2 linked regions of the Daphnia pulex genome follow. The protein of the gene in region 1 purifies or fractionates together with the protein of each later gene. This does not show direct contact. Links are inferred from orthologs where the notes say so. Each region holds a gene or a part of one and is shown on either strand. Other genes may lie near its edges. The genes, in order: serine/threonine-protein kinase ATR-like and replication protein A 32 kDa subunit-like.

Region 1 (4,457 bases):
AAAGATGAAGAAACTCGTGAAATCCAAATGAAATGCTGCCCGCGCTGTAAAACCATTATCCGCTCATGTTACCGTTACGGAAATGTTATCAAGCGAAATTTCGGCGACATTGTGGAAGTAAAGAGGATGCTTTTGCGTTCTCGTGAAAGCCCCAAAGATTTCGCCGAGAAGCATTTAAAACAGATTGCGACATGCCATACCCTAAATACTGAGCTGACTGGTAAACTCAACCATGGCATCACTGATGTTTTAATTTTTGGATTGGAAGGAATTCGGAATAACCTCACTCCAACTATTGTCCGAAAAAAACCCGAGTATAAACGTTTGGATGAAGATACGCGCTATCTGATCCAAGTTCAAGTTGATGTCATAGAAAGAGTTTTGAGCGTCGTCAGAAAATCCCCGGTGATTACAGCAACTGGTAATCAAGCTCCAATTGGATATATGAGTCGCCCTTTGCTGGAGGATCTTTTAAATCGAACGCAACAACTTCTTTTGTCTCTTTTCCATCGCGAAAGATTTGCGTCTCAAGAACATGAATGTTTCATTGCCGAAGTCAACCGCTTGAACTTGATTCGAGCCTTCTTTTTGTTGAAGAGCTCCTCCACCTACAACAGAAACTCTTTGATAAACGAAGAAAATCGGCAGGTAGAAGAGCTGTTGATGAAGAATGTGAAGCCATTGAGGGATCGTGAGATCGTGGTGATCAAAGAAACTTTGCAGAGGATGGGCAAAAAATTGAATACTGGACTTGGCATCAGCGACATCGAACGTAAGGAAATTATTAAGGCCATGGGACTTACACAGGGACACTGGTTCAAATGTCCGAATGGCCACATCTACGCGATTGGAGAGTGTGGAGGAGCAATGCAGGAAGCCAAATGCAACGAGTGCGGCGCCCAAATCGGCGGAGGGAGTCATACGCTTCGATCAGACAACCGCGTTGCAGGCGAAATGGATGGGGCTCGATTTGCTGCATGGTCAGAGCAGGCAAATAATATGGCCAATTTTGAAATAGATGATTAAGTGTTATCATTCATCTAATCTATCTATCAAGTGTTCGGTTCTTAGTGATACCACGGTGATACAGTCATTATGGACATTTCTTAATAACTTTTTTTTTATTCATTTTCGCTCGCTGGCGTCTAAAACTCTAAAGCAAGGAATGTATGATGCTGTTTGTCCCCCAAAAAAACTAAGTTTTGTATTGTTATTCAAAATATTTTGGTGGACCACATGAAACAATATTACTCTGTCTGTATTCATTGTTTGGAATAAGGAAATTCTTCTTCGACTCTGGTTTCTTGTAATAAAGTTGTAATGTCTTGTCTTCTTGAACTCGTTTTCGTAATTGATTAATTATAATAACCTAGACTTTTTTTAAATTTTTTATCGTAGTTATTTTTCATTTTTTGCATTTTCTTTACTACTGCCTTGTTTTCTTATTTATAATCCGCCAACGCTGAAATGTAAGATGGGCGCCAAAACCTCTTAAACTGGACTTTTTCTTTGAATCCGTCTGCTATTCACACGTGATCGTAATTTGCTGATGCGGGTGATATGGTTGTTGTTAGCTTTAGTTTTGCGTTAGTTTCGTGGTGTGTGTCGTGGTACTTCAAGGTGCCCCGTTTCGTTAGTACTTTGTTTGCATAGTTTCGTTAGTACTTTGTTTGCCAAGTTTACATAATGACATCTTTAGCAGTAAAAGTAGAACAAAGTCAAAAGACTACAACTATGGAAATTCAAGAAGAAAGCTCAACAAGTGCTCACTTCAGTGCAGTTTCGGATCACCGGAAAATGATGGCCTTGCCTGCTTTAAAAATTTTAGCTGACCTAGATCATTCAGAAAAAAGCTTTGTCGTGTTGATGTCTGTCATGGACAGATGCTGCCGTGAACCAAATAATCAAGGTGTTTTTCTTGGATGTGGAAATAATGAAAACGATCACAGTTTAGCTTTTGGTAAGATTTACATTTCTGTTAATGTCTTATGCTGGTTTCTCTCAAAATTAACATCTGTTTGTTTTGCAGCTTACACTAAATGGTTCCTTGGCAGATTCGCCATTATATTTACTCGGAATTCATACATGAAAGCTTTTAATCCATTTATTGAGCTGAATGTTAAAATTTTGAATCTATTCAGAGATAAAGAACCTGCCCAATTTACTGCTATTGTTAATGAATATGCCAACTTGTTGAAGGAATTGGTAGGAATTGTATCAAAACAATCCAATGAAGAAGTCTGCAATAGAAGCTTCAAGCTACACTCCTTCGTTCTCAAGGAACCAGTAACACTTGCAGCAGATTGCCTTTTAAAGATGGATGGCTTGCAACTAAATTCATTATTAGAATGCTCCCTTCTGCAAAATAGCATTACCAAGGTATCTTTTGTAAATTACAATTTTGTTAGTGTTCTACAAAATATTTTTGCATATTTTTAGATTTTTGCTTTGTCAGCTGATGGCATTTTGCAATATAACCATCAATTGTGTGACAAACTTGTTTGTATTTTATTGGATCAACTAAATTATGGAGGAGTTAGTTCATTTAAAGCTACACTGGACTGCCTTGGGAAAATCATGATTCATAATTATCCAGCCAGAGTAAATATTTCACACATCCTTAGGCTCTTATTATGGTTTCTATTAACATTGTGGTAAATATATTTTATTCATTTATTCGTGCTGTCAGGTTCTTGAGGTTTTTCTAAGCTACGCATACCGCCTAGTAAACCTATTAATGGATAAAAGCAATCCACTGTGGCTTGGAATTAGTGAAGATAGCTACACAGAAATAGAAATCGCGCTAACTGACTGTCTCAGTCGCCTATCTAGTCTTTACGGCTTGAACAATGTAACTAATCACCAATACCTGAGGCTGATCAGTTTTATTTTACTTCATCAAAAATTCCACCAACCTTGTATAAAATATTCAATATATTTGAATGCTTACAATAACATTAATTTTGAATTTATTCTAGCTTTACTTCCCAATCTTTTACAAAGTATGCTGGGCGCACTTCAGAAATTTACATGCCCGGAAACAATTTCTCTTTGTAGATTCACACCTGATTTATGGATCAAGCTGCTAAAGCATGCTAAAGTAACTGACCACAGAATTTCATTAAACAGCAATGTTTTATTACTAAATTTCTTTACCTGTGTAGGTTGCCATTCCACCCTTACTTATCATCTTGCAGAGTGAGATGACGCCTGGAGACTGTCCCATGGAAGTTGATGAGCCACCATCTGCTAAGAGACTAAAAATTGATTTTCTTCCGCCATCGACTTCTTCTACTTTATGGGAACAAATTAAAAATAGCTGGAAAGAAATATTGAATCAACAAACGGCAAGTCAATCAATTGAGATGACCGACGCTATTGCTTTGGTTAGGATCGCAATCGTTGGAGTCAAACTGAAACTGAAATGGCGCGAAATGAACTCGGTCTTGGATGAAGCCGACTTCGAAAACTTAAACGGAAAAATTTGTGAAATTCTTTTAACCAATGAAATCAACAGTGAAGATATGGACGCTTGGATGGATATAATTTGCGAGTATTTGGTCTGCTGTATCCCACTTACTTACGTCGGAATCGATAAGAACGTCGCTATAGCGTGGTTTGCCCTATCGTCTCTTCCTTGGCTCTCGGCAGTCTCTGAATCATGTGACCTGGAAGCCAAATGGATACAGGCCAGTCGAAAATTCAAGTCTTCTTTTCTAAAGCGCCAGAGCAGTTTCGCCAGCTGCTTTGTGAAATTCCCCGTCGCCTTTTTTAAACCTTGGGCCGTTGACATTGGCTTGAAGATTTTGGACATCGAGTTTCTTCAAGCTGACGCTGAGGCACTCATCCCTTCTCTTCCATGGATCGTCCGCCACAGCAAGTCGTTCCGCGAATCAATAACACAATGCTTAACCACCATTTTGGCTTCTGGTTCTAGAGAAGAGATAAGGGAGTTAACAAAAAATGGAGCAGACCTTGTCTGTGCTCTATCAGGCAAGATGAATGTTGTTAATAATCCAGAAGATGGACTGAGTTTACGGTGCACTCACAATCTCGAAAATCTTGCTACATCATTAAAAGTAAGCATCGTTCCTGAAGATATGGCGCTCTTCTTCCTCGAGTTTGTCTTTGATGAAAATGATATTTCGCTACTCCACCGCGTGGATCTTTTTCGATCGGTTCTTTATCATTCTGCTCGAACCGAAGCCCTTCGTTTATCAATCACCAAGAAACTGCACAAAGTGGCGCAAATTTCGGTTGAAAAAAATTTACCATCTCTTCAACGAGCCATCTTAACGTGCGCAACCATTTTGGTACAGTTTTGGAAGGAAACTGTCATGGCAGACTGCTTTCACATCCTCTTCAAGATATTGTTGCTGTCTGCCTATACATCCCCTGTAACGTGCTGGACTTCATCGACGGTTAAGGATATTGCTTCGAAACTCAGTACTACTCCC
Region 2 (3,546 bases), on another chromosome or scaffold:
CCGAGAGCATTTAATTCCTGTTCAGTCCATATTTTGTCATCTTCTTGTGGTGGCTGTGTATCCTGTTTTTCTTCTTCACTTTCTGAAGACGACGAAGAAGTCGATGAATCCACTGGGTTGCTTGATTTGGCTTCATTTTTCTTCCATCCTGGTTGCGAAGAATAAAACCGTTTGTTTGTATGGGAAACAACTTCGTCACTCTCACTTGGTCTTCTGAATCTTTCTTGAACGGTTGATGATTTTCTAATGTTTTCTGGATGTTTTCGCTCTCGGGATCTTGATCTATCTCTGCTACTAACATGTGTGGAATCTCTATCTGAGGTTCTTTGTTTTTTTCTTTCTGAAGGATTGGAAGATACTGCATGACTATTAGGACTATCATGCCTTTTTGAGGATTCTGCTTCAGTTCTTTCAGGTGGCAAACCAGTTCCTCCATTTTTCCAGTATGGATTTAATTCTCTACTTGACTGCCCTGGTTTTTCCATCATGGTCTTTCTTGCAATTTCTTCATTCTTGTTCAGGGATGTTCGTTTGGGAGGCATGCTACTGTTACTGAAAATTGGAAGCAAAGAAGGCACACTCATCCATTCATCTCTCTCAAGAGGAGCAGATGAAGCGGGTTCTGTTGTTTCAGATGTTTTCTCTACCCATTCATCAGAATCAGAGGAATTGTCTTTTTTCTTGCTTTTTTTATGTTTCTTATCCTTTTTATGTTTTTTTTCTTTTTTACTTTTTTTGGATTTACCGGACAATTGAGCATCCAACTCAGGCAGCATCCATTTGTCTTCACCATTTAATTTGGCCAATTCTTTTTTAGCTTTCCTTTTCTCATAATCTCTTTCTGCCTAAAACAAAAGAAAAATAAACTAAACCAAATGTATACCAGTAAAATACTATTAAATCAAATTGGTGAAATGTGATGGTGTATTACCTTCGCAAGAATTGCCTCTCTCGCTTCTCGTTTCATTTGTCTCATTTCATCTAAGTCTTTAGAATTTTCAAAATTTATCGACATTTCAAAGGATTATTTCTATGGGCTAAAACTTGAAAAAGAAAACTAGAAAAGCAACACAAATTATTTTCAATCAAATTTACAAAAACGAAAACATTCGTTTTGACGTCTGTCGTTTTGAAGCGAAAACAAGCATTGCCAATTTGTTCAACCAGAGTCATCCGGTTCAACTTTTAATTTTTTTTACAAGCATATAATAAATTTTAAAAACGTTAATAAAAACGTTAATTAAAATTATCAATTGTAGTAAAAATTGTAAAAAGATGCCATTTAATTCAATATTGATATCAAATGTTTCCAACTCGTCAACATCGGATTGCGAAAACTAGTTTTCCCGCCATCTATAAAGAAAAGAAAACAGTGGATAGACGCAGTACAAGTTACAACGTCTGCATACCTGATTGAAGTGATTCACGTGCATTACGTTTTGTTTTGAGAACGACAAATTTAAACGAATAATTGAATTAATCTATAATGTGGGATCAATCAGCAAGTAATAAATACAATTTTGTCAAGCTTTGTGTTATTAACTTTACATTCTTTCCATTACAGGCGATTTTGGAAATGGAACAATGGCCGGTGGTTTCTTTAATGCTGGAACTCCAGGAGGCACAGTTAATACTCCTGGAGAAAAGAAGGTTTGAAGACATTTTTAATATCTCATAGACATTTTCTCATGTTTGTTTCATTCACAGGGTGGAGCTCAACGGGCTCATAATATCATTCCAGTTAATATCAAAGATATATTGGATGAAATTGATGAAAAACTAAAGATAGAAGATACTGAAGCCCACATGGTATCCATATTTATCTTCACTTTGAGTTACATTTACTTATGATTTACAACTTATCTCTTTTAGGTTACATTTGTAGGTACTGTCGAACAGATTGAATCCAAACAGACTAATGTTTCGTACACTGTAAGGGATGATACAGGTTCTATTGAAGTTGTTCAGTGGATTGAGGGTGAAGGGGTATGTATTGTGTTCTGCATATGTTTTCACTCATTATTTATTCCAATTTATTTTTGCAGAATGTCCAATCACCTTTTCAAGTTGTGGAAGGGAATTTTTGTCGAGTTGTTGGATCTATTAGACAGACACAGGATCGCCGTCACGTAATGGCATTTCGTGTTGCGAAACTAACAACTGCTAACGAAATAACAACCCACTTGCTAGAGACGCAATGGGTTCGTATGAAGTTGAGACAGATGAAGAGAAAAATGGTAATGAACAACTCAAATGAATGCTTGAACAAAGGTAAATGATTTTTATTTATAAAGGGAGAAGGAACAGGACAATCAATGAATAACTCAGTGATGGGTGGTGGAATGACTGGGCCTTTAGCTTCTTCATCCTCAGCTACTTCCAATGTGGCAAACGGTATCATGTCAGGACTGTCATCTTTTCAATCTATGGTTTATACCATCATTCAGGTAGATTCATTTGTCATCTATGTGATCAAATTCAAACAATAAAAAACCATGTTATTTTTAGGCAACAACAGCGGAAACCGGCATGGAAAAGTCGCAGATCTACAATTCTGTCAGAGGAAGAATGATCCCACGTGATGTAGAGTAAGTGTATTGATGTGGAAGACAAACATGTTTTCATTGATTTTAATTTAAATTTTTTATTAGTGCTGCTTTGGAATTCCTTTGTTCTGAGGGACATATTTACTCTACGGTGGACGAAGACCATTTCAAATCGACCGATAGCTAAACAAGATTAAGATGTACTGTACCTTCATTCTCATTAAATATCTACTAGAATAGATACATTATACTCAAAACTGTGTCGACTCAGTCTGCGGAATTTATCCTGAAGCTATTAATTCCAACTGTTTTGAAATGGTTCAGTTCTGTCTGTCTTTCAACATAAAAGCTTAAATCGTCTAAAATCCATCGGATCTACATCGGATAATTCATTTTCAGTATATTCAAATATCAGGTACATAATGACCACGGATAACTGGATCATGTCTAATTGCTATGGCAAGTGTTTGTGATGCATTCGAAGTAAAATGTTATTTACATCATAGAATGAAGACGTAAATGTTAGGTATCAGGCAAATTTACTTCTATTATTGGTGATAATCTTCTTGGAAGTTCCCACAGTAATATCCCGTTTCGTTGCCTACGAATAACCGTAGCGCCATCGGTTTCATCACTTGGTTGGAGTGCCGCTTTACTATGATAACATTATTGATTCAAAAATTAAAGCTAAACTCGCTAACATGTAGAAAATGTTTTGCTAAAGTTATCTTACTTTAATAGACGGTTATGATTTACTCGGTAAAGTAACTTGGGATTTAGTTTTGCAGGATCTTGCGGCTCAGACAAAATGCTTCCAATGGTACCAATGATTAAGACGATCACCACGCTCAATACCGTGTACCACAAATACGAAATCCGTAAGAGCACAAATGCATCCGCTCTAGAATGGAATGAAATATCGCGTTAAGTTTCAAATTATTATCTAGAAACGGACTCATACTTTTGAATAAAAAAATGAACGGAAGGTGACCCAACGTCT

Evidence for each region.
Region 2: the proteins of serine/threonine-protein kinase ATR-like (region 1) and replication protein A 32 kDa subunit-like purify together in Homo sapiens (affinity purification with western blotting; 3 studies listed by BioGRID, with this or other methods). This does not show direct contact. The link is inferred for Daphnia pulex from reciprocal best matches to the Homo sapiens genes ATR and RPA2.

Annotation. Positions count from the first base shown.
Region 1 is NC_060021.1:4,789,966-4,794,422, reverse strand, and holds the start of serine/threonine-protein kinase ATR-like, read left to right. Parts: upstream 1-1,450; 5' UTR 1,451-1,686; coding exon 1,687-1,960; intron 1,961-2,029; coding exon 2,030-2,379; intron 2,380-2,439; coding exon 2,440-2,601; intron 2,602-2,689; coding exon 2,690-2,918; intron 2,919-2,978; coding exon 2,979-3,100; intron 3,101-3,164; coding exon 3,165-4,457. Other genes in the region: NFX1-type zinc finger-containing protein 1-like, read left to right, coding at 1-1,026. UniProt on the Homo sapiens protein: Serine/threonine protein kinase which activates checkpoint signaling upon genotoxic stresses such as ionizing radiation (IR), ultraviolet light (UV), or DNA replication stalling, thereby acting as a DNA damage sensor.
Region 2 is NC_060017.1:2,573,546-2,577,091, forward strand, and holds replication protein A 32 kDa subunit-like, read left to right. Parts: upstream 1-1,343; 5' UTR 1,344-1,486; coding exon 1,487-1,505; intron 1,506-1,564; coding exon 1,565-1,650; intron 1,651-1,707; coding exon 1,708-1,809; intron 1,810-1,872; coding exon 1,873-1,986; intron 1,987-2,045; coding exon 2,046-2,237; intron 2,238-2,294; coding exon 2,295-2,447; intron 2,448-2,508; coding exon 2,509-2,588; intron 2,589-2,651; coding exon 2,652-2,733; 3' UTR 2,734-2,911; downstream 2,912-3,546. Other genes in the region: CWF19-like protein 2, read right to left, coding at 1-845, 932-1,015; sodium-coupled monocarboxylate transporter 1-like, read right to left, coding at 3,069-3,201, 3,280-3,447, 3,508-3,546. UniProt on the Homo sapiens protein: As part of the heterotrimeric replication protein A complex (RPA/RP-A), binds and stabilizes single-stranded DNA intermediates that form during DNA replication or upon DNA stress.